Linked DNA regions of Caenorhabditis elegans. The protein of the gene in region 2 purifies or fractionates together with the protein of the main gene of each other region. This does not show direct contact. Each region holds a gene or a part of one and is shown on either strand. Other genes may lie near its edges.

Region 1 (7,649 bases), on a different chromosome or scaffold from region 2:
AATGAATTCTATAACCAAACTGATATGTCAAAGGCAAGTCGTCTTTATCATCATTCCAACCATCACCAACAGAAAATGTAACTGGAGTTTCAAGAGCAAACGGTGGATAAAACGGTACAGATATCTGAAAAAAAAAAACAACAATTGACTAGAAACAGCGATTCTCTTTTTTCACATCAATATTTCCTTTGGTTGGTGGCGCATTCGTAGACAAGTGCAAATCCGAAAACGAAGATCCTTTTTCATTAGACGCCCAAAGCCGGATCACAAAGGTTTTACCACTCATCAATCCTGGCCACATGGCAAGTCTAAAAATCTGATAGTGTGATATTTCCTTTAGTACTCTTACTGTGTTCCTGCAGGTGGAATTGTGAATGATACAAATACGTCAGATTTTGATGGAACATTTTTTATAATTGTAGTAGGGTTAGATATAAACGATGAAATATTGAAATAACCAAACTGAGGATCTCGAACAACTTCCCATGTGATATTCAAGGTTGGCAATGACGAACTTACTAATGCTTGGATTCTAAAAAAAAGACTAGTATAAACTTTCAATAATATTTCTACCTGATATAATCAAAAGCATTTTGTTTTTTCTCTGCGAGTCTATAAAATGTAACTGTTGGAATTTGAGTTGCTGCAATTGTGACGATACATGAAGAGCTGTCAGATTGTTCCTCAGATGAAACGGTTGCTGTCACATTCATAATAGTATTTTCGATTAATTTGTTAGTAGGGATCTTCAAAAAATCCTGAAACGTGTCAATCGCTCCAAGATTGCAGCTTTGCGTGTCATTTTTTTCTGAAAAATATAATTAAATAAAAGTTTAAGTAAATGAAAGTTACCATCAATGAGTTCACAGGTCCATTGGTATTTAAGACTAGAGTCCTTTCGATTTTGATCTACCGCCAATACTCGTATTGTGAGGTCGTGATCTTTCCCAATCTGACGTTCAGCACAATCCAAATTTACTAGAAGTGGTAAGCCAAAATACTGAAAATTAGACACAAACATTTTACTACAAAAGAAAACGTATAAGAGTGGGAAAGTTTGAAATGAAAACTGAACTTTTGTTATGGGCTCATTCACGTTTTAATGTCGAAATACAATTTATGGTGTAATAAACTGTATTACAGTGATTTTCGTGAAGAACCTTATTTTTGCCTTTCAATAAATGTCATGCAACTTTTTTTTAGCAACAGTAGTTGCAAGTTTAACAACATACATGTATGGTCTTTGTTGAACTTGAAGAGTACGGTTTTTCGTAACTGTATCTTGCTATCAGTGTAACATTAACCAGCTCATTCACAGAATATGAATAAGCCGGTAGTTTGAGCCCGTCATCATACATTTTGCCTTCCCCATTCAATTTCCACTCGTACTGAAAAAAATAATGTCATTTTTTAAAGCTTATGTATTGAAACACCTGAACATCTTTTGGGGACGTTTTGGAGCTGCATTGCTTAAAAGTAGGGTTTGCACGGAGACGAAGACCGAATGAAGCAGGGGTTTCTTGTTCAACGCCTAGAATAATTTGAGTTTACTCAACATTTTAAAAAGTATCAAGTACCATCAATAGAAACTGAAAACACTGATGCATCATCAACAAGTGCGGTATAGATTGGTCCACTTGAAGTGCATTTTTCCGCTACATTACACCCGGTGACCAGTATCACATTGTTTGTTGATAGCTTCAAAAATAAAATAAATCAAGTTTTATTTTTATATCTTACATGATGACTGGGGATTTCCAGAAGTCTTTCTGTTGCGGCTTTTGCAATGGTTTCCATATCCAAGGTACCTTAATTTATGAAGTTGATTGATATTACATTATAAAAAAATCCAACCATTCAAAATAGTCCACTGAAAACTCAAAGGCATGAAGCCGTTCCCTGAAATCTGTTTTACTTCGAACGTTGTTGAATTAGAACATGTAGCCACTTCTTTTTCATGGGAAACTGTAAAGTTTGGATACACCTGCAACTGTGCGCCTTTCAATTTTATTTGCCCTTCAATGAGAATTTACCGCATTTTTTGGACTTTTGAGAAATGCTGATCGAGGTGAGAATTTTGTTTTCACTTCTTGTAGTATGCCGATCTTTGGATTGGCACCAAATTTAATGGCGACATTTGCCCCATCTCCCAGACAAATAGGGTTTTCTGAATAATATGTACTTTATGAATGATTTGGTGGAAAAACTAGTTACCTCCGAGAATGGAAGAGTTTTCCATCAAAACCTCACAATTCATAATGCCCATTGGAAATTCAATTGAATCATTAACCTTTTGAATGTTTATACCAAGTAAATCATCAGACAACTCGGCAGTAAAATCTTCAACTTTATCAATGTGAATTTCCAAATTGCTGTATTAAAAAATAGTTATAATTTTTAATATAAGTTAGTTGTACCTGTTGTTGACATTTGGGCAGAATCTAACCAACAATGTTGGGATAGGCAACACGAGGCATTCCTAAATTGAAGAATTAAAAAATATATTTGATCTTTGTCAATCTCACACTAGAGCAAGGTGATGAAGAAAAATAGGACATTCCTCGTATACTTGCCCTACTGGTATCATCCCAAACAAACGGAATAATTGAAATCCCACTTTTTGAACAGTTTATGGAAGCGGAGCCATTAACAGAAAAAAAGAAATTGTAGTTGGGTGGTACTACCAAAAACTGAAAATGCCACTGTTAGAAAGAATTGAGGTATTAAAAGACGATTTAAAATTATTTTTTATAAATGTAGTTTAATAATTCAACCGATCAATGTTGTTACTGGAACTTTCTACTATAATAAATCCGCAAATTTGATGGGGATCTAAACTCATCATTGATAATAGTCCTAAGATTCTAAATTCAATTTATCCAGGATATTTGATACAACACGCTCTTGTATATTTCTGCTTTATCATATGACGCATCAACTTGGCTTTAAAAAGTTATCTAAATATTGGGCTCTGAAAAAGTAATCACTATTCCAATGGAAATAATTTTACTAAACTATTATCGTTTCTTCATTGTTGTTGTGTAAAACAGCACAAAAATGTGTTTACTATAAGTATTGTGACCGATGGATTAGCATCGACACGTGCATAATTGATTTGAACTATTATAATGTTTATTCTATTGTTGATGTTTTTACTATAACAATAAGCATGTACTTTACCTAAAAAACCTAACATGTATAAACCTGTGGCAGATATAACATGTGTTTCACATTTTTCCATATAACATAACTTTTTAATTATAACGTTCCTGGCACTGTTGTATTGATTCCCTGCATTTTCAAAAATTTTCAATTTTTTGTTTATTATTACATTCAAATTAAACGTGATATATTTAGGTTTTGTAATGTTATTTTCAAAGCCTGAAAATTCAAAAATTATCCTTACGTTTTCATTCAAAAATTTACTTCTAAAAGTGCCGGTCTCTGATACACCAGTAAGGTTTTTTTTAATGTCAAAGTCGAATATATTGGTTGCTCCCCCGACTATCAAGTGTAAGGCACTTAAATACAGAATCAATTTTCTCACTACCAATACACCTTCAATTTCACACCCTTTGCATAATCGAAATAAAAGACAAGAGCAGTTGGTCTTTCACAAGGTCTTTGACGCATTTTGAACATACACACACGGCGACACGAAACGCGCCATTACATTACAACCATATGGTTCCTATTCCCATCTTTCAATACGTTTTTTTTTCGTTTTTTGTTCTCATATATTTTATATGGTTCTATGTGGTAACAAGAAGACCATTCGGAGACACCTTCAAAATGAAGATGAATGAGACATGACCAATACTTACCCGTTTTGCGTCATCAGCATAATTTTGAATGTCGACGCAATGAACTGTCGCATTAGGAAACGGATTGTCATATCCATCTGGATCGTCTATTTCAATTGGATGCTCACTTGTCTCATCAGGAGCTATTTTCCATTGAACGTCAGTGCGTGTGCCTGCGTTGACCACCTGAATGCAAATTGAATTGCGTGTTCGTCAATTATTCAGAATTTTCGAAAAGGAAGCTAACCAATGCGGCAAGTGTCCAACTATGATTGAATGCCAAATGACTTAGAAGCTCACTGAGCACAACACGAGTTGATGTTGTTCCTGCGTTGTCTTTTAGAGTTGGCACATTATCGCTGGTTAGTTGAACAGTGTCCACAAATTCAAAATAAGCTTTTTCAAACCGAATACAGCTTGTTCCAGATGAATAGCATTGATTGAGAATCTTACATTCGCAGAATCCAAGAATTAGGAACAGTAATAACAAATACTTCAATAGGCGCTCTTCTATCATTCAGAAAAATTACATGGCAACCGAAGCCAAAAAAGAAAGCTCGAAAAGTATTAGTGCACGAGGCAAAAAAGTTTTACGTATTCTGATTGAAAAAACGCGCAGCTTTATTTTGTCTCTATGGAAACCCGTTATTTTCAATTTAAGGCTTCGTTTCCTTCTTCTTGTTATTTCATTGTCCATGTGAGATTTCTCATGATCATTTTTCTTTCGTTATTTGTTTATTTATATTGTTTTGGAACATTAATGTAATATTTTTATATTTATAAATTTGAATACATAAAATATGTGAGCATCTCAAATTGTTACAGAAGATGTTATTGGAAAGAAAAAGGTAAACGGATAAAACAAGAAAAAGTACAAATTTCAAGAGGCAAGTTTTGAAACAAAAAACTCTAGCAGATAAGTGCCATCAGAAACCAGAGAAACCGCGTGAGAGTGTTGAGGGATTTTGGAAATTAGGTGGAAATTTCTAGAATAGGATAATATGAGCACATTATAGTAACAAGGGAGTATAGTATAAATTGAGTCAAAGATACATGCATCCCTACCCCTAAGTGGGTCTACAAAAGATTATATTCAAATATTTGGCACCATGGAGTCAGATCAGTTTATATTATCAAATTATCACGAGTAGAACAGAGAGTAATGACCTTTACGAAAGGAAGGCGGGGGGGGGGAGGGTTTGAAAAAAATGGGAGTGGGAAAAAAACAAATTGAAAGGTATGGCAGATTGGAATGAAGTCTGAGAACAGAATCATAAAAATGATTTGAAAGGTGATTGAGTGATAGAAGATTTTGAACAAATGACAGTAGAGATTACGCGTAAAATTCTTTTGTCGATGCTTTGGTATAACCATACGAGGCATATGGTCTTGCTTGCTTGGGTTCATCCAATGCGTATGACCCTTCATCTTTTTTCCTGATTCGAAAGACTACAAAGAGCACGAGTAGAATGGCTGTAATCACCGCAACGAGAACACCTCCGGCAATAGCTGAAAATATCAAATTAAATCAAATTAAAATAGATAATTCTACAACTTTAAATCTTTTCGTTACTAAAAAATAAATAAGCTTTGTGCTTTATTCCAAACATATTTTTATGATCTCAACCCGTAAGGACAACATATAATATCAGTAATGCGATGCATGTAAGAAATATTGCATTGTCCTAAATTGAACTTTCTTGGTAGTGAATAATTTCAATAAGAGTTTAATTTTGTAACTAAGTGAAAAAAAATTTTAGTTTTCCTTTCCAACTCACTAAATCCTTTCAAAACCGTCATCTTCTCTCAAAACCTTTCATTCAAAAGGTTCCCCTTTTCCTCACAGACACTTCCTCCACTCAGTGTCATAAAATCAAATATGCACAAAATGCGACCCTTGACCTTGCCTTCCTTCTTTCTTCAGCGGCTTCCGTCCCACCATCCCGAACCTCAGGCCCTTTTTCTCAAGAGAATAGAGCTGGGGCTCCTTTGTTAGATGTGGGATGCTGCTCAGATTTTGATAACCACAAAAGAAGAAAGCATAGCAAGTTTTGAGAAGAGATGTCAACTTTACTGAACAATTCGTCTTTCCCCACATTTTGAGACACGCGTCATAAGGGGTCTATGTTTTCTTTAAAAACCCATTTCAAGGCATCTGTACTTCCTCACAAAAGGCAGTAAACACAAAAAAGTTTGTTCAAAGCAAGTGTTGTGGAAAGAAAAAAACTAAACATCTCTTCCTACATTTTTGCGCCAAAATAGAAAACTTGAGAAGTGTCTCGTTCAGTGGCACTCATATATAATTTGGACCCATCTTGATCCTCATCATCATCATCATCTCTCCGTTTTCAATAATATAATTTCTGGCGTGTCATTCACCAATACTTGTTGGTTTCTTTCAATAAGAAAGAAGAGCTCTCATCGTCTTCCCACCAGGAATAATTAGACACATGGGGGAAAGAAGAGTATGTGTGGTGGTGCATCATTCATACGAAGGGGTCCCCATTCTGTGACACAAGCACAAGAAGACGAAGAAGAGGCCACGCCATCTGTCATTAAGAAACAGCTCGACAACAAACTAGCACATCCTCGAGCTGTACACATTGATTGATAGACTGGTCGCGAAAAATGGACGGGATGAGTGTCCGGAATGCAAAAAGTATGCATACTTTTATGCAAGTCTCATATTTTTGTGTATATTTGCCCATCCGGAACAGACGGAACGGATAGGCTTGAGGCAGCATATTCCCCCGGAATACAGTGGCCGAATATATTGAATGCAACCGTGTTGCCTTCGATTGACGAGAAGACATCAATTTATCATCTCGCAACAAATCATTCGCCGACGCCATCACACTGACCGGGCGATTTATGTACATTTGCATCTGCTCCCACTAATGATAGTTACACTCCGGACGATCAAAGGTCCCAATGCAAAATTAATTGAAATGAGTTTTGCTTCACACATACCTGCATAGAAGCCATTTGCCAGTGTCTCATGGAATGGCGAGAATGGTCCAGATGAGATGGTTGATGTGACCATTGGTGGCTGCTGTCGAGGTGGATTTGTGGCTGCTGACCTTGGCGTTCTGGAAAATTGAAAATTAAATTGGCTGCTAGATGTTTTCGGGGATTTGTTGATTGACAAGATAATTAATACATTTCTAGATGCATAAATCCTGGGCCCTGGAGGGCATTAGAATAGTTTTGTTTTTTGTTCAAATGAAAAACATACGAGGTGGTAGCTACAACAATAGGTCGATACGTTGTTGTAGTAGTAGTTGTGAAGAAATCTTCATCATTATGAATATTCTCATCAGCAAAATCTTCTTCATCATCCTCATCATCTTCATCCTCATCTTCATCATCGTCCTCGTCCTCCTCGACCTTGATCTCCTTGTCGTTTGCCGCTGGCTTAGGCTTGGGCTGAACAGGAGGCTTGAAGCTCTGAAGAATGAAAGATTGCGGTAAAACACATCAAAAGAAAAAGCCGACACAAACCGCTGTAGTAGTAGGTACCGTTGTCGGCTTTGCAGTCACAACAGCATGGCTTGGAGATGTAACCTTGTCCGATTTTGTGGTAGCTGAAGATGGCGGCTTGCCTAAAAAAGGTTTTCAAATTTGTCTGTCACAGATTGAAAACTGCAAGCGGCGCACACAATTAAATTTGCATCTGGACTAACGCTTTTCTAACAGGATTTCTCACAGTTGTCAAGAACAATTCAAAATACCCACCTGACCCATGGACATCATCACCGTCTTCGTCGTCGGTTGGGTAGCCGGATCCATTGACTTCGATGTCTGCTAACCTGCCGGGAATGTTTGCACTTCCTTCGACCTGCTGCA
Region 2 (6,533 bases):
CGAAAAGTGGAGATTGAACTGCGGGAGATTGGGGTCCTGACGGAGGATTTCCTTTGAAAGCTGGAAATTCTTAAATTTTATCTGAAATGAACAAAAAATTTTATTATTTTTTTAAAAGTCTGTTTCACAAAGTGTTTAAATCTGTTGCATTTGTGCAAAAATTTAATCAAGTCAGACAAATGTGCTTCAAAAATAATAAAAATAACTTACGACATGTGGCAGGCATTTCTGCTCTCAGATCAGGCTGAAGATATCGGCGAAAAATTTTTGTTCCTGGTTAAATATATCAGTCAGAAAACCACAAAAATGATGATAAATGGTTCAACGACTTCTCATATATACAAATCGAAAAATCATGAGTTTTTGAGTGCCGGATGTACATATAGGCACACTAATGTGATGATGAGATAATATGAGACTTGACGGTGGATGTGTGCGTATTGGAAGAGGGATCGCTGTATCAAACGGCAAAGATCCACTACGTCACAGAGAATTTCAGGCGATGTTTCAGATTCACACGTTATTTAATTTCTATCACTAATCTAGTCAAAAAAAATTTTGTTTTTGATGTTCGCAGCGCCCGACACTTTGTGGGCTCACCAAATTCTGTCACAGAGTTGTATGGTCACTAGCTAAACCCGGAGAATGTCGGGCGCTGTAAAAAACGTTGAAACTTCCTAAAATGTCTTGCGAAGGGAAATTTCATCCTCACATAAAGTCCCCTGTGATGATAAAATCCAGCAAGTTTAAAAAAAAAACTTGAACATCATACAAAAAATTGGGCGACAAAAAAACCTGTGACCAATCAGTTATGTGCAAAAGGCGTGGCCAAAATTGGTGATTGGTCAGCATTTACTTGTACCGACCAATCCCCGGAGTTGGCCACGCCTCCAGCTTACCGCTGATTGGTTCAGAATTATCTAATGTGTAACTGGATGCAGTAGTGTTCTTTTTTAATTGCTGCGTTTCGAGTTTCATTTCACAGTTTGAAGGCATTTTTTATGTAGCCTGTTTCACATTGCTCATATAGAAATATAATTTTTGACACCAGTAGTCTTCGAATCCATGCAAAGCTAAAACTGGTAAAAAATCACACAAAAAAAAATTTCATTCATCAATTTCAAATCACTAAATCCACATCAATCATCCTTGAATTTTTCAATATTAAAAACCATCGGAACCATCTCCCCATTTGTCCATTTCTCATATTGACGAACAAGATTCCGGATTATCTTCACTGCCACGTTGATATTCTTCACAGAATCTCGAGTACAAACGTTCCTGGCTACTAACTCCTTTCGAAGACAATCAGTGAATTTTGTCATTTTTCTGACAATTCTGCTAACATCCACCAATGTATTATATGTCATCCGTGCTTGTCTGTAGCAGAAACGGAAAGTTGGAGCAATCTGGAAATAACATTTCAAATTTCGAAAATAATTTTTTTTTCACTGTTTCAAAAAAGTTTTAAAACAAATTTTCAAAAACAATCTCGCGAACTCACATTCTTGAGACAATCTAAATTACTTTCTTGATACAAAATGTTTCCCATATTAGTCAGAGAATCCAGGAAAAATCGATAATGACGTGAAGCATCACACGTGACATTTGAACCAATACACGAGGAGGCCGTTTTGGTGAATTCCACGAACTTCTTCATAAACTTCGGATTATGGATCTCACGGCCAGTTACATCGGACAGCGAGTGGATGTATTCCTGGAAAACAGAATTCGTTGGAGTAATCTAGCAGCTGACAAGCTACGAGTTGTCCTCGACAGTGACCAGTATCAATGTCGGCCGCTCTATCTTACCTTGTGAGGCTGCGCACAACTTTCCAAATCCAACTTTTCTTGGGCACAAATTCCTCGATCACCAGCCACCGTGGACAATACGGCAAAGAGAATTATCAGTGATATGGAACAATTGAACATCGTTTGTAATTCGCTTTTGCGAGAAATGAATGATGTTCGAAATCTGGTTTAATAAAGTGTGGTGGAATTTGTTTTTAAACTCACGTTTTTCGTTATTCACTTTTTTGTTTTCGTGCCCACACGCTTTTTGGTCTTTTGCAAATTATCTTCGGTTTTTATGTTTTTAAAAAATATTTTTTTGAAACACAAAAAAAGCAGAAAGCAACAAATTTATTCCAATCATTTAAATTCATTTTTTGAGCTTTTATATTTATTTTCAACAACTTACTGTCTTCAGGCAAAGTCTACGAAAAAAAATCTTGAAGCTGTCTATATTTCTGATTCAGATTATTTTCCATGAATCAACTAAAAAACGATTTTTGATTGATTCCTGCCAAAATCCAATTTTCGTTCGAAAACTTTCGTATAATGTTTTCAATTGATTCATATACTTTTATCAACATTTGACTACTATAAAAGCCTTGTAAAATGCACATTTCAAAAAAATGTTCAAGTCTTTGGTGTTCTCAGCTCTTCTGGCGTACGCCGTTGCTGCTCCCATGTCTTCTATGACCACTGCCATTGACAGGATCGACCAAATTTTCCAAGCCGAAGATAGTACACCAGCTTGTAATGCCGAGACGAGAAGATTCAACGCTTGTTTTAAGGATATTAATGAGGTGAGATATTTATTAGTTGAAAAATATTGGGGGCGGCTAGTGGCTAGCGGACTATATATATATATATGTTCATTTATTGAGAAGAAAAAAAATCAATAAATATTATATATATGAAGAGTAGGATATATTTTTGCAGTACTTTTTGAGAGTACCATCGGAGTGGTTTTTCAAGAAGAGTTGATAGGGAAGAAGAGGGTTTGGGGGAATATACGGCAGAACCGTATTCGATGAGGGGGAGAATGCAGGTCTTGAATAAATTACAATAGAATTCAGGACATAAGGATTTAAATGATTTCAATAATTGCTTGCAACGTAAAAGGGCTAGAGAAACGATCTTCTTAATGTGGGTTTTGAAGGTAAGTTTAGAATCAGTAAGGATTCCCAAATCACGGGCTATATTTGATGGGGATATAGGCAAATTATTGATTTTGTAAACAGTTTTAGGGTTTTTTTTACCGAGATGAAGAAGACAGGTCTTTGAGTGGGCAAGTGGGAGCTTATTATTTTCAGACCAGGCTGTAATGAGATCAATTGTTGTTTGAATGAGGGGAGGGGAATGTGAGTAAACCTTGAGATCATCTGCAAATGCAGAGCAGGAGATGGTTGGGGGCAGGCTCAACAGTAGAGAATTTATGAAAATGAGAAAAAGGAAAGGCCCAGATACACTTCCCTGGGGAACACCAGAGGGGATGGGATGAATGTTGGGGTCAATGTGATTGTTAACTTTTACTGAAAATGTTCGGGACGATAAGAAATCGTGGAACCAATTACAAAACAATGGGTTTATGCCAAAATCAAAATGGACTAGCTGAAAATTAATTGTTCAAGTACTTCTGGGCATGTTGAAACAGATTTTTTTTCAATTTTTTTTTCTGAAAAAAATTTTGCAAATTATATTTCCAGAAATCCCGTCTCGAAATGTTCCAAGATGTTACCAAATTCCCATCAAAATCCGAAGTACTTGAGTCAGTCGCAGATATCCGTAAGGCATTGAAGTGTGCAGGAGAACCAGTGTGCAGCAAGCAGAAGTTGACAAAATACGCAAGTGAATTGGTGATATATGCTGGGGAGAAGATCTACGGAGAAGGATTCGGATGTGTGAATCAGGTAGGTTATATTAATTGATGTTTCTTAGCATCCGACACCTCGCGGGTCTCCAATTTTAAGATGAACGGCGGAACCCGCAAAGTGTCGGCAAGCAAACTAGAATTGTTTTGCAAAAAAACCCTTCTCAAATTCCAGAATGATATGGTCCGTTTCTACACTGCTTGTGTGCTTTCTGAAGTTCCAATGGATCAACTTCAAGGCTTTACCTTCAAAACAGTGCTTCAATACGCGAAACCAGTCACAAGTTGCTTCGCTAAACATCAAGAATGTGAAGAGTCGGAGAAAGCAGAGTTTTACAAGGGAATGATGGCTTCAGTTGAACTTGTGGATATATTTGTACCAATTTTGGAGGCAGTTCATTCAGGAAACTTGGAGTTCATCCATACTTTTGATAAGAAGTTCAATCCAAAAGATTTGGATAATTTGAAACAGTGATTTTGATGTTTTTGGGTTTTAATAAATGATTTTGAGCAACACTTCATTATTCTTTCTATTAAAAGAAAATAAAAAAGTAAATGCGTTCGGGGGGAATCGAACCCCCGTCGAATGCTTGGAAGGCATCCATGCTGACCATTACACCACGAACGCGCTGTTTAAAGCGGGGTGAAGCGACCGACATATGGCGAGACAAGATAATTTGAGAAGAAAGAGAGGAAAAGCGCTTGCGGCAGTGTACAGGTTCTGAGCGTAGAAATTAGGGGGGGGGGGGGGGGAATGCTAAAGTGTCTGCTGACTGCTAAAAATTTTATTTTCAACACGTTTGTTTTGCTGTTAAAATTTTGAAAATGTGTTTCTAAAATTGAAATCAAATGCAAACAACCCAACAAAAAATGCTAATACATTGGGCTTTATGTTCAACATGAAACAGTGTATACATTTATTGTAAAAAGTATTCAGATTAAAAGGAATTTGAATCAATTTCATAATTGTCGAGCTCAATTGTCAATTGATGCAACAGACATGGTTCCAACTTTCCAAGATATGTGTCTAGAATCCAACGTTGATTGAACAAAACTGACTGATAAATTCTGGAACTATTGCAATTTAAGAATCCAGAAATCCATTATCGATTTGTATTCCACTTGACATTGCTCGAGAGTGACAATTGGTGGAGGGGTACCCCATTGCCGGTGACCAGTGGCAACAGGAGAAGAGCGTAGAAAATCATGAGTTCTAAATAATATTTCTCCTGTTTCAGAGAGTTGTTATATAAGGCTGGCGAACAATTGAGTTGATATGATATCACGATGTATTTTATATCTGACTCATTTTTCCTGGAAAACGAATTCTTTCAGTCGAACAATTATTCGTTCAGAACAATTTTGGTTGTTCCAAGTGTCAAATTAAAAGTCTGAGCATTTTTTCAGTCAAGTGTTCACACGGAATGTTAATTTCATTGATTTTTTTAATTTTTGAACTTCATAGTCTGTAGTCCTGATCCCACACACTAAATTTGTGGTGACATCAAAAATTGACGAGGAATTCAAATTTTCTAAATACACACACACACCTTGTCAGAAATGTTCTCAACTGATGCAAATTTCAGAGAATTGGTTTTTATTTTTAAACGTAAATATTTAACAACAACTTGAAACGGTTGGCAATTGTTCTCATTTTTTTTCTTTTTTTTTGTGCGGCAAATTTACCGAATTCGAGATTTGCCGCACACCCCTGATCAGCCATATTATGTTCCATTTACCACGAATCATCATTCCGGAATGTTTTAAAGTAAAATATGGTAACGTTCTTCTTTTATTGAGCATGTTTTCATTTCACACAATGTTTAAACATACTTAAAAAACAAATCATTGACAGGAAAACATTTATTTAAATGAAATAATTCTAGTTTTCATTTAACTGTCTGAAAGGGGATGTAATGCTCTCATATCAATTCCATAGTTTTCGAATTCAATTTTCGCTTGATACCCCCATCATACAACCGGTGCGCAATGCAAATATAAAACGTTTGAATAGATTTACATCACTGTTTTTACAAGTCGGTTGACTCTTCATTTTCTCAATCAAACATGGATATTCGGCAGGATTTACCACACATTCAACCGCATCAAAGTATTGCAGTTCTTCAAGACAAGATTGGACCATCATATGGAAAACGTTATCTCCAAGACATGGCCACAGCTTCCCAATATAGGTTTCTAGAATCCAACGTTGATTGGACAAATATGCTTGACGAATTCTGGAACTATTGCACAATAGAAATCCAGAACAATCCAGGACATTGAGTCATCGATTAGATCAAGGTTTTCTGATTTTCGAAGCAGCGGACTATCATCGACATAGCTGTACACATTATAGGTCTGAAAAGCACCACATTAAAAATGAGTTCAATTCCTTTGTTTAGAAGCCCCGGACATTTACCGGGTTTGCAAAGTAACTTGTAGTTCTATGGTGAGAGACGGAACCCGCTAAATGTCGGGCGCTTTGGAAAGTTTTGAAAAAATTTCTTACCCTAACACAATCCATTATCGATTTGTATTCGACTATACATTGATCTTTTGTAACAAACAATTGGCGATGGGGTACCCCCCATTGTCCGGAGACCAATGGCAACAGGAGAAAAGCGTAGAAAATCATGAAAACTAATTTTTTCTGTTTCAAGTAGGGCTTATATATTGATGTCACGTTTTCAGGTTCAATATAACATCTGACTCAGTTCTCATAGAAAACGGTTTCTTTAAATGAAAAATGTATATTTTTTTAAACAATTATTGCTGTTTCAGTTGTCAAACGAAAACTCTGTACATTTTCCGTATCTCCGCTATCAGTTCAAATGAAGTCATTCGATTTTCCATATTCAATATTCGATTTGTGATA
Region 3 (10,457 bases), on a different chromosome or scaffold from region 2:
AATATTAAAAATTGAAATAAATGGCATCACGGTCCAGCAAAGGGTACATCAGTGTAAACGCGCTCTACTAATAATTATAGTTTAGCCAGGCGTGGGCACGGTTTAAGGAAAAAGCTTTAGTCCAAAAAATGTTTAATTCATTTTCGAAAATTTTGTATATAAATCACAAAAATGTTGGACCTCCTGTTTTTGAGAAAAACGCGCCCAAACGTCCAGATATACGGTAGACAAATTGCGTACATGTACCATTTCTTGGGCCGTGGGCATCGGTTATGTTTTGAAGTCTAAAAATGACCTTAAGTATTTTCCTCGTAAGTATTTCAGTTTATTATTAAACTTCCTCAAACTTCCGAATAAAACCTATGTCATTTGGAAGTGGTCTGCACTTTTATCAATCCCGTTATTTTTTCAAAAAACATGATATTATGTACACTGGAAAACATACTAATGAGTGGAAGAAGATTGGCATCAAGTGATATATCAGTCAGAAAGGACAAGCTGCGTCTCCACTGAGCCTATTGTTACTCGTCTGTTGCTATAACTACGCCACCTTTTCGAAATTATGACAAGATGATCAGTTTCAATGTTGTGCTTGAATATCATGATTTAGCTCTTTTGTAAATTTTTTTTACTGGAAAACTGAATTTTTGCAGAATAATGGAAAAGTCAAATGAATCCGATTTCTTGGCAGCTGGAATTGACCAAGACTCGCAAAATCCAGAACCTGGGCTAAAACAAGAGGCCGTTGAAGCTTCAAATCTATTGGACAAAACACCACAACTCGAGCAGAAGCTTCCGACCCCTGCAGAACGCTTGCTCGCCAGCAAGATTGCCCTTCGTGGCTGCATGCTTTTGGAGTATGCAAAGGGAAACGATGTCTTTGAAGCTTACGAAGCCTTGTCCGAAGTACTTGGAGAGGAGTTTATGAACATCAGAGAGTTCGACTACTTCTTTCATAAGCTTGGAAAGGGGGAATTGGAGCTGGACAGTGGAGAGAAGTTGGTTAATTTTTTGAATATCTCTCTTAATATTGATGCTGCAGGTTTGATCCGAATGCTCTTCAGCTCTCGACCATGCCGGTTGAGATTGTACGGAAGATTTTGATGGAAATTGAGCCGATTGAACGGTGAGCAGCGCACTTTGAGCCCTATGATCTATCCTGCTGAAATTGCGCGTTTAAATTGTAGCAGGCCTACGAACAAGAATTTTCGGCAACAAAATTCTGAACCAAGCTTCAAAAACACGCCAAAACTTGCCCGAATTCTAGATTCCCCTTCCGCCGTGTCTGCAGCGTGTTCCGCAACGCCATCGACTCCCTGGACTGGAACTTCAAGACGATCACTCTTTCCGCGGGATACTTCAACACCATCCTAACGTTATCCCCCACTCATTCAATGATCTACACCTTTCTGAATCGTACAGACTCTATAGTTGGTCTTTATGAAAACGGGCGTCTCGTGGAAAATGGCGGAGCAATGGAAAAATCAAATAACCTGAGCTTGGCCATCATGACGCTGTCGAGTATTCTCAAAAGCCCATTTTTCACACTTGACACTCTGGTTATCACCGAGACTCAGCAAGCCTGGGGTGTACTTTTCGCGGGCTCCGAGAGCATTCCTATCGAGCTGGCAAAAGTGAGTCCATTGTTGGTCACCAGCCTGCAATTCATCGACATTCGCTGTGAGGAAATAGTTTCGATAGTACGATTAACAAAATCTGGTACTCTGAAAGAAGTCTCAATTAGGTTCACCAAACCATATCAGTTCGTACTTCGATCTCGTCCGGATACAGTCCCACTTCAGAATATTGTGGAATTGGAGCAATGGAAACATCTGGAAAAGTTTGATGTGATAGGCGATATCTTTATGAACATCCCTATTGATAGCTTCTTGCACTTGACAAGCTGCATCGTCAGGTTGGTTATACTGACAACAGAGGAGTTGATCAAAATTCGAGATGTAAGCTTAGAACAATCATATTCCAACTACACATATATTTAACAGATTCTCATGGAATCTAGCACATTTGAAGTTGCAGTTCTCAACTTTATGCATTATAATTTAATTGAGATCGGCCAGTTTTTCAATCCAGCCTTTGATATTTCAATTGCACCCCGACCGATTCAATTTGGGGGTTTTCATATTGAGATCATCGCTGTTGGTTCAGACTGTACCGTGGTTATCTATAAACGACGAGAAGATATGAATTGATCTAGGATTTTTTACACTTCTCTCGATTTTTTTCCTTTTTCTCATTAAAAAAACAATTAAGTGTATTTGCTATCAAAGAGTGTTTATTATTAGATGTTCAAAAATTACACCTTTCAATTTTCCTCAATGAAAATAAAATTCTTTGAAAAATATGTTCACGAAGGCCTTATGATTCGATGCATCCTGATTTAAAAAGTTTCTTCAAACATTATGAATTGCGAATCTGGGATTTGATGTAAGCCAACTCATAATTAGAGCTGGGCTGACAGAACTTGAACTTGTGATCGCTAAATGAGCGTAGGCTTTGAATACGTGGAGAGGAGCTTCAATCGCAAATAAGCTAGCAATTTTTGAGCATAATTATTAATAGATTATTTCATAAATTTCATTTGCTTGGTTTTCCATGTTTATGTCCAGGGAAGCTGTAAGTATCGCATTTTAACGCGAGTCATGTGACATATGACTCAATGTGGCGACGAATCGACGACTCACCAATACTTTTTTCTTATTTGTAATACCTCAACAGTCACTCTCAGGTGTGAAAAAACACATTCAATTACAATTTTCTGATATGTAAATTCTTGAGTAGGTTTTTGATTGACCGATTACAAAAAATACGTTTAGAAAGAAATAATGAAAAGTTATACATGTGTATGCATAATTCCTTCTCCATTTTCAATATTTATCCAATTTCAGAAAATTTTCGGCAAGTTTGTCGGCTTTTATATATACTTAAACAAGCGATATAAACTGAATTTTCTAGAATTCAATAGTGCTATACAGCATGTAATTAAAAAAAAACCATTAATGTACATTGGTGCACTTTTAATTGCTATATAGCAGTTTGTTATCGAAGAAATTCTCGCAAAATTTGATAAGGAAAAATTACAAACGTGTGATTGTCACGAGGTATCTCTGCTGAACAAAATGGACAATTTATTTCGAAGACTGTCCCAGTTATTGTTTCGGTTTGAACGGAAAACGTGAGTATTGGCTTGAAATGTGGGAACGTCACATTTTCCTGGGGAAAAATTCCCGCATTTTTTCTAGATCAAATCGCAATGAGACACTCCAACACCACGTGAATAAAGTAAAAAATATATGGAGAAAATTAAAAGAGGCAAACGCGCTCCAATGAGAATTTATTTAGGCACGCATCTAAAACAACTCATAGGGACGCAAATGAAAATCGCGATTTCAAGCGCAAATAGAAAATCAGAGAATTTTTTTAAAAGTTTCTTAATAGATAGCCCCAAAAACCCAGAAAATTTTCAGTCGCGCCCTCGCTCACTCCAAAATTTTAACCTCTACCCTAAAACGCCTGCAAAACTCTACGAGAATCGGAATCCGAATCACAGTTTCAATATGCACAATCCGTTTGACTATCTACACCAGGAGTACCCCTTCCAGGGTCACGATAGTCTATCAAGAGGATGGTTGGATTGTTTCTGACAACAAAAAAGAGTTGATCGATAACTTTGACTACTTTTTTGTCTTCATGAGGCATTTACACTCGATATTTGCATCAAAAATCCCGGTTTCTTATATATCAATACAGTTTATTTGTGATCTGAGAGCAAGGCTGATATCGGAAACGACTGACGAGCACACTGAAATGTTGTTTCTAAAAGAATTGAGTGAAATGATGGAATCCCGAAACCAAAATGTGAAACTGAAAAGGTTCTCGGTGCATTTCCACGGGGTCACCTTAAACAACTCGATTGAGCCGATTCTACAACACGTGGAGGCAAAAGTTCTAGTGTTGAAAGCAAATTGTGATGAGGACATGAAGTACGATTTCAACAAAATTGTTGAAACAAACATTTGGAAATCGGCCAGAGTAGTGGATATCGATTCGTTGTACCTCAGTCACGCTCACAAGTTTTCCTGTCAACCTGTAGAGGAGATCTCACATTTTTCAAGTGTTTCGTGTATTTTCTACTCGATAAACTTTGATGACATGGTTTTCCTGAAAGAGGTCAGTTTATTTTTAGTTCTTAATCAACTTCTGTCTAAAAAGTACAAATTACAGCATTTCCTCGAATCTCCGAACGCACGTGAATTCCTCATTAGCTATCGGAAATTCGATGAGCAACCAATGATCAGTGACATTTACGAGATGGGATTAGACACAATTTTTGGAAAGCCCGTCAATGTGGAGTACAAAGAAGAAGACAAAATTTACAAGTTTAGAGTGATGGATACGGAGCATGATATTTCAATACAGTTGTTTTTACGGAGATCTGGAAATTCGTCGATCATCTTTACGCGAGAACCACCATCGGTGAAGCAGATCTATGAGTGAGATTTCGGGCGTTTTCTGGAATGACGCCAAAATGAGGCTCCAACCAATATCAACCGCCGACATCTCACGAGTTCCGCGCCACGCCCTTAGCGTTTTACCTTCATGGCGTGGTGCGCTGCCATGTTAAACATGTGGGGACACGAAACTCGTGAAATGTCGGCGGCTGATATTGGTTCCCGACTTTGGCTGATTGAAAAAAAAACAAAAAAGGTCTCCGTGTACCTCAGTTATATCTCATAATGTTTGCCCTCTGAAAACTGCGAAAAACTTACAGTGCGTATATTTTCCACTTCTACGACATTAAAGGGGGCGCATTAACGCGCGATGGTCTCGACATGCGCGGCGATTTAATTAAAACTTTTGATGTGTGTGCCTTTAAAAATACTGTATTATGCCTTTGAATTAAAAAAACACATATTCAGTACAAAAAACATTTATTATGCAAAATAATTAGATATTAAACAAATAAAATGCAGAAAGTTGGGAAAGAAACAATTAAAACGGGAAATTGGAAGAAAATGAGAAAAATCGATGAAGATTTCCGAGCAAAATTAATACAGTAATATTAAAGGCGGACACATCAAAAATTTTTAATAAAATTGCCGCGCGTGTCGAGACCATGCGCCTCCCTTTAAAGTCGTAGAAGTTTTGTATGACGACGTTTGCAACTGAGGACATGGTTCATAATACATTAATAATACATTGAATTAGAATAGTTACTGCCCGCACTGTGGTTCGAACAATTTGGATGCTTTAATGGTAGATCTTACGCCGTTTCTGCCATCATCTAAATAACTTCATAATCATAAGTTCCTTTTCAGCCAAACTGTGCACAATTATCACTCACACACGATTGATCTACTAGAAAGAAATGGCCAGGAGACTAATGCCTTACTGGTAATTCGGAATGACTCAATTCTAATTTATTTTACGTATACTGACAAGAATACCGCGGAAAAAAAAGTGGAAAACTTCGAGTACAAGAGTCTAGAAACTGGATGCTCGGCAGTTGTCTCTGAAAGAAGAACTTCATTGACTGTGAATCTAGATCATATGTCTCTTTTTCTGACACATTTGAAGTACCTACTGGATAATTTGACGACTTTTGAATCTTTTTCATTTGGATTTAATGAAGAATCCTGCGATGCAGAGTTTATGAACCGCCTCAACAAAACTATCCCATCAAATTCTCTAAAAGCCGATGGCTGCTGTATATCTTTCAACCGTCACCCTCTGATCACTGATTACATCACCTCAGTGCTCTCGTACTTCCAACCAGGAACCCTTGAAAATATAGCGATCCACACAGCACCTCACACAATTGCTATGGAACTGGAAGATATTGCGGGCTTAGAGCAATGGAAACGAGCAATTTCGGTAGCAATGTGTAACACTACCCTAAAGTTGTCAAGTAAGAGTTGGGAGAATTTCAAGCACTTTTCGTGTGCCACAATTATATCCGAACCGATTTCTTTTGAGGATCTTTCATTTCTGAAAGAGGTGTGTAATAATTGCACAACTGGCAAATATGTAAAATTTCAGCACTTCCTGACTTCAAATACCCCGCGGCAGATTAAGCTTCAATATCTCCGTTCCTCAGAGGACAATATCAACGTTGCTCAAAAACTTCTAGAGCTATTCGGTCCTCCAGCTCACGAAAGCTATGAGAGTGCAAAGCAATGTGATCGAACATGGTGCATAGCAATTTCAAATCAAGATAATTGTTTTCTGGTCAAGCACAAATTCTGTCGTCCTCGGGAGTATGGCACATTCGTGTTCTCAAGAAAATTGGCGGCTGAGATGGAATGGATCAAGTAAGATTTTGATTACCGTATGTTCTTTATTTTTATGGCACCCACACCGTCACCCGTTCCTCAGACCGCCCGCTTTTCCAAGAAAGCAATAATTTCAAGGCCGATGCGCAAAAAAAAACGAACATGGACTGGAACACTCTGTTCGCGATTCTTGCCATACCAATAGGAAACATATTGTAATGGAACAAATTGCATTCTCTTCCAGCTCATCCCCCAGTCGTTCTCAAATACTCTCGGCATTCATCAAGTGCCTTGCAACTTACAAAAACCACTCCCTAGAAGTTCACACTGCAGAGGACCAGGTCCGGATCATGTTCAGCTACTCCTCAGAACTGACTAGCTATCGGAAGAACATCGTGTACAAAAATCACCGTGAAGGGTGTCTGCTCGAGTTTGACGTTCACAAGATAGTAATCGACGAGGATTATGTGACAGTTTCTTGTGAGGACTTGAATATGGTGCTGGAGACGGTGGAGAGTATTGACACTTTGCTAATAGAGTCTGAAGAGATATCCCCGTCAAGATCAGACGATGACCCCAATAACTCGAATGAAACAGTTTTCGGATGCTGCTTAACAAAATTAGTGGAAAATCTTAAGCAGCGAAAGCAAATGCTTCATGTCAGAAACTTCAGGCTAAACTTGAATATGCAATCCCCAAGTGACCAGGTCTACTCTATATTGGAACTACTTTCTCCGGAGGTCGTCGAATTGAAAACTTCCATAGAAGACACAAAATTGGAGTTGTCAGAAATAAATTTCACAAAAACGAAGGAGCTCAAAGCAGAATCATTTTTGTTATCCATCCCCATCAAACTATTGAGCAAATTTTCAAAAGTAGCAGTGACATTACAAGATTTTTCAGTCGAGGATCTGGTTTATTTAAAAGAGGTACTCTTATCTAGATTTTATCTAAGGTCTCACAGCTATTATGTATTTCAGCACCTCCTTGGATCCCCAACGCCGTTCAAGTTTACTATCAACGACAATCGTTCGAAAGAGGAGCATGTTAATGCAAAGAACCTACTTGAAGAATTTGGAACACCTGATCGCATTCAAGATGATCTTATGGAATGGCGTATTCGGATTCCTGGTCCCAAATTTGATCTACTTATTGAATACCGCCCGTGTGTCCCGATGGGTCAATCATTCAGTTTTGAGCGTGTGGTGGAAAGGGTTGAGGTTGGTTGTAAAAGAATGAGCATTAAGTGTTAGTTGGCACTAGGTACGAAATAGATCACAAGTTCAAGGAGAGAAATCCACGAGTTTATAGATGCATCCGCAGTAGTACTACAAGAGCTCGGCAGTAGTACCACAAAATAGAATATCTGATTTCTGAATCAGGGATGCGCGGCTGGTACGGCCAACCGACAAATTTGGGCAAAATTGCAACAATTTCTTCAAAATAATCGAATTTCAAAAACATTTTTACCAGCGCTACCAGCGCGCATTTCTGTTCTGGATCCAAAGTGCATATCTAATTTCAGATATTTTCAGGAACATCAACGTCACGAATTTACCAACCAACCCATTGAATTACCACTGTAAGTATCACATTTCTATAAGTTTCCTTCTGCTCAACAAAATGCAACCAGGTATTTTCAAATTTTCAGCTCATACACTACCCATTCACTGATTCTACCATCAACTTTGAACACCACGAAAGCCTTCAAACTTGCTGAAGTCCGCTTATCTTTATATAGCACCAGTATAACAGTCGGTCTTTACTGTACTCTCCAAGGTCAACGATCTTCACGGATCCATGAGTATCAACACCACCCGAACGGTTGTCGGCTGCAATGTGATCATCAAAGGGAAATGGTTCGGAATCGGGATTTCGTTTCGCTGGCGGTTTCCCATTTAAAAACGATTCTTGAGGGCCAAAACGTCATTTTAGAATTTTCAGTCCATCTATGCGATGACTCTGAGTATATTGATAAAAGGTGTCTTGAAGATCTTGTTGAGATGCTCCGCTCACGACGTCGGCAACTCAAAGTTCGGAACTTCAAGATTAGTTTCTTTGAGCAACCATACATCAAAATCGCAGCATCTCTATTGTCATACTTCGATCATTTCTCATTGGTTAGAATAACACTCAACACGCCATTGCACGGTACAGTAATCGAAACAGAGGACTGTGACCTACTTGTGAGCCTGGATCAATGGCACTGTGCCAGTGAGCTCCTCATTTCGTCGTTTGTATTTTCAACTGCATTGGAAAATTTCGAGAATTTTTCACTTGCAAGTGTTACGGTGCCAACGATTTCTTTTGAGCAATTGGCTTTGTTGAAGGAGAATCTTACGTATTCAACTACTAAGTTCTGTCTGGTTATCAACTTTCACGGTTATGAAGATGAAGATTCAAATGATGTGGAAGCACGGCGACCACAAGAAATTTTCGGAGAACCAAACGTGGAATACGGAAGTGAGGAGTTTGGGCATAAAAACTGGCATCTTCCTATGGATGACAGAGAATATAGATTGGCGATCAGATATCAGCATTGTGGAGCCGAAGGGATTCCTGCGTATGTTTTTACAAGAGTGAGTTACTGAATGGCTGTTTAATGACTGACTGATCGTGTCTCCGAAGCCTAAGCCTAGGCCTAAGTCATAGCCTAATAGTTAGCCTAATTTTTTGGTGAAACTCCCAAAGTGTCGGCCGCTAGACTTCCAAAACAAAGAAAAGCAAGCACACTGACTTAAAATTTTCCAGGAAAAACAGGAAGACGCCCCTCCATTTGACATGCTGCGGCTCGTCACCTGCTTCCCGATGGTCATGAAGAATATTGTCGACAATTGCGCTTTTGTCTCAGTGTGCGTTAACAATTACTGGGAATAATTTCCAAAATTGTTTTTTTTTCAGCGAAGTCCTCCGCAAAGTTTGCAAAGACCTCCGCTACTTCGTTGATCGGAGCCGGAGCAAGTCAAAATTCCAAACAAATGATATTGCCGTGAGCTTGAATTCTGACGATCTCAAGCTTCGAATCCGCCAGTCAAACGCGCATACACTGTTTGTCTACTACAAGCAACCAATAGGATGTCGGCTTGATATCATCGAGTTAACTCCGGACGGGGCCACACGGAACTACCGGGAGCATCATTTGACAGATGACACCCCGTTGAACTACTTGATGCGAGATCTTCAGTTTGTGTTGAAGGATCAGAAGAATTGCCTGAGAAGTTTTCACTATTGGGTTGCGGGCGAACATGAAGAAGCGCAAGAAAAACTAAAGCGAGTTCTGATTCGGAGCTCCAAGCTTCAAGTGAAATGTTTAATCTTAGCCGGAAGGACTGAGTCGGAAATTTTAGAGCTTCTCGAGTGTTTCGACGCCGGAAAGTTGAAGCTTCTGAGACTAGATTTTGCAAAAATCACTGAAGAGGATGAAGGAACACTAGAGATCGCCCGAATAGCGGAGACGGGTCACTGGAGAACTGCAGAGGAGTTCGTGGTGGCTGAGTGCGTGCTTAACACGGATCCCTTGAACTTTAATCAATTGTTCGGAAATTTCAAGAGCCAAAAAGTTTGCCTGCAAAACTTCACAGTGGACAACTTGCTTTTTATGAAGCAGGTGGGACGTTTATCTTTGACAATTTAACAATTTATTATTTTTCCAGAAATCCCTTTCCACTTCCATAAAACTATTCTTCATTTGCGAAAATTTCGATATGGAGAACTTGTACGAGCTTATTGGACGGCCTCTGCTTGTTACCGAGGATGCGGTCAAAGTTCGGAAGTGGTTCTTCAAGTTAATAGGCACATTAGAGCACGTTTTGCTATTGAGAATTAACACGGAAAACGGGAAGATTCATGTTCAGATGTTTCGTATCCCAGTTTCATATGTTCCCCAAAACGCAACCATTCGTGACGATTGAGATTAAATCAGTTTAAATGAATATATTGCAATTAAAAGATATATTCTTCGTCTATTCTATTAGGGGGCAGATAGCTCAGTCGGTAGTGGTGGCCGCTAGCAATCTGGAGGTCACGAGTTCAAGTCCGGCCTCACCCCACTAGGTTCACCCAGCCTCTATTGGGAAGTGGAGCAATCCACGACTGGATTATCGACCGCAGTCCCCGGCTAGGACGTGGCTTAAATGGGATCACCACCAGGCAGTGTACCTGAATCCC

What was found.
Region 1: the proteins of Y57G11B.5 (region 2) and F57C7.4 fractionate together in Caenorhabditis elegans (co-fractionation; one large-scale study listed by BioGRID). This does not show direct contact.
Region 3: the proteins of Y57G11B.5 (region 2) and R10E8.6 fractionate together in Caenorhabditis elegans (co-fractionation; one large-scale study listed by BioGRID). This does not show direct contact.

Annotation. Positions count from the first base shown.
Region 1 is NC_003284.9:10,585,219-10,592,867, forward strand, and holds the start of F57C7.4 (PKD/REJ-like domain-containing protein), read right to left. Parts: upstream 4,348-7,649; 5' UTR 4,321-4,347; coding exon 4,051-4,320; intron 3,990-4,050; coding exon 3,825-3,989; intron 2,691-3,824; coding exon 2,526-2,690; intron 2,480-2,525; coding exon 2,418-2,479; intron 2,373-2,417; coding exon 2,215-2,372; intron 2,168-2,214; coding exon 2,034-2,167; intron 1,985-2,033; coding exon 1,855-1,984; intron 1,809-1,854; coding exon 1,741-1,808; intron 1,699-1,740; coding exon 1,578-1,698; intron 1,532-1,577; coding exon 1,434-1,531; intron 1,389-1,433; coding exon 1,233-1,388; intron 1,001-1,232; coding exon 853-1,000; intron 809-852; coding exon 574-808; intron 533-573; coding exon 350-532; intron 309-349; coding exon 176-308; intron 125-175; coding exon 1-124. Other genes in the region: sdn-1 (putative syndecan), read right to left, coding at 5,137-5,312, 6,774-6,892, 7,039-7,250, 7,305-7,405, 7,539-7,644.
Region 2 is NC_003282.8:14,572,408-14,578,940, forward strand, and holds Y57G11B.5 (DUF19 domain-containing protein), read left to right. Parts: upstream 1-2,411; 5' UTR 2,412-2,417; coding exon 2,418-2,591; intron 2,592-2,667; coding exon of another isoform or gene 2,668-3,414; intron 3,415-3,494; coding exon 3,495-3,698; intron 3,699-3,833; coding exon 3,834-4,133; 3' UTR 4,134-4,173; downstream 4,174-6,533. Other genes in the region: glb-34 (Globin domain-containing protein), read right to left, coding at 1-60, 211-226; Y57G11B.3 (F-box domain-containing protein), read right to left, coding at 1,140-1,409, 1,505-1,717, 1,813-1,932; Y57G11B.8 (CPXV012 protein), read right to left, coding at 5,855-6,016, 6,168-6,293.
Region 3 is NC_003283.11:18,259,045-18,269,501, reverse strand, and holds R10E8.6 (DUF38 domain-containing protein), read left to right. Parts: upstream 1-3,110; 5' UTR 3,111-3,137; coding exon 3,138-3,193; intron 3,194-3,485; coding exon 3,486-4,188; intron 4,189-4,242; coding exon 4,243-4,511; intron 4,512-5,336; coding exon 5,337-6,015; intron 6,016-6,057; coding exon 6,058-6,329; intron 6,330-6,534; coding exon 6,535-7,219; intron 7,220-7,270; coding exon 7,271-7,510; intron 7,511-7,825; coding exon 7,826-7,872; intron 7,873-7,941; coding exon 7,942-8,869; intron 8,870-9,041; coding exon 9,042-9,142; intron 9,143-9,191; coding exon 9,192-9,897; intron 9,898-9,943; coding exon 9,944-10,201; 3' UTR 10,202-10,242; downstream 10,243-10,457. Other genes in the region: fbxa-213 (F-box domain-containing protein), read left to right, coding at 658-998, 1,043-1,126, 1,268-1,958, 2,004-2,210.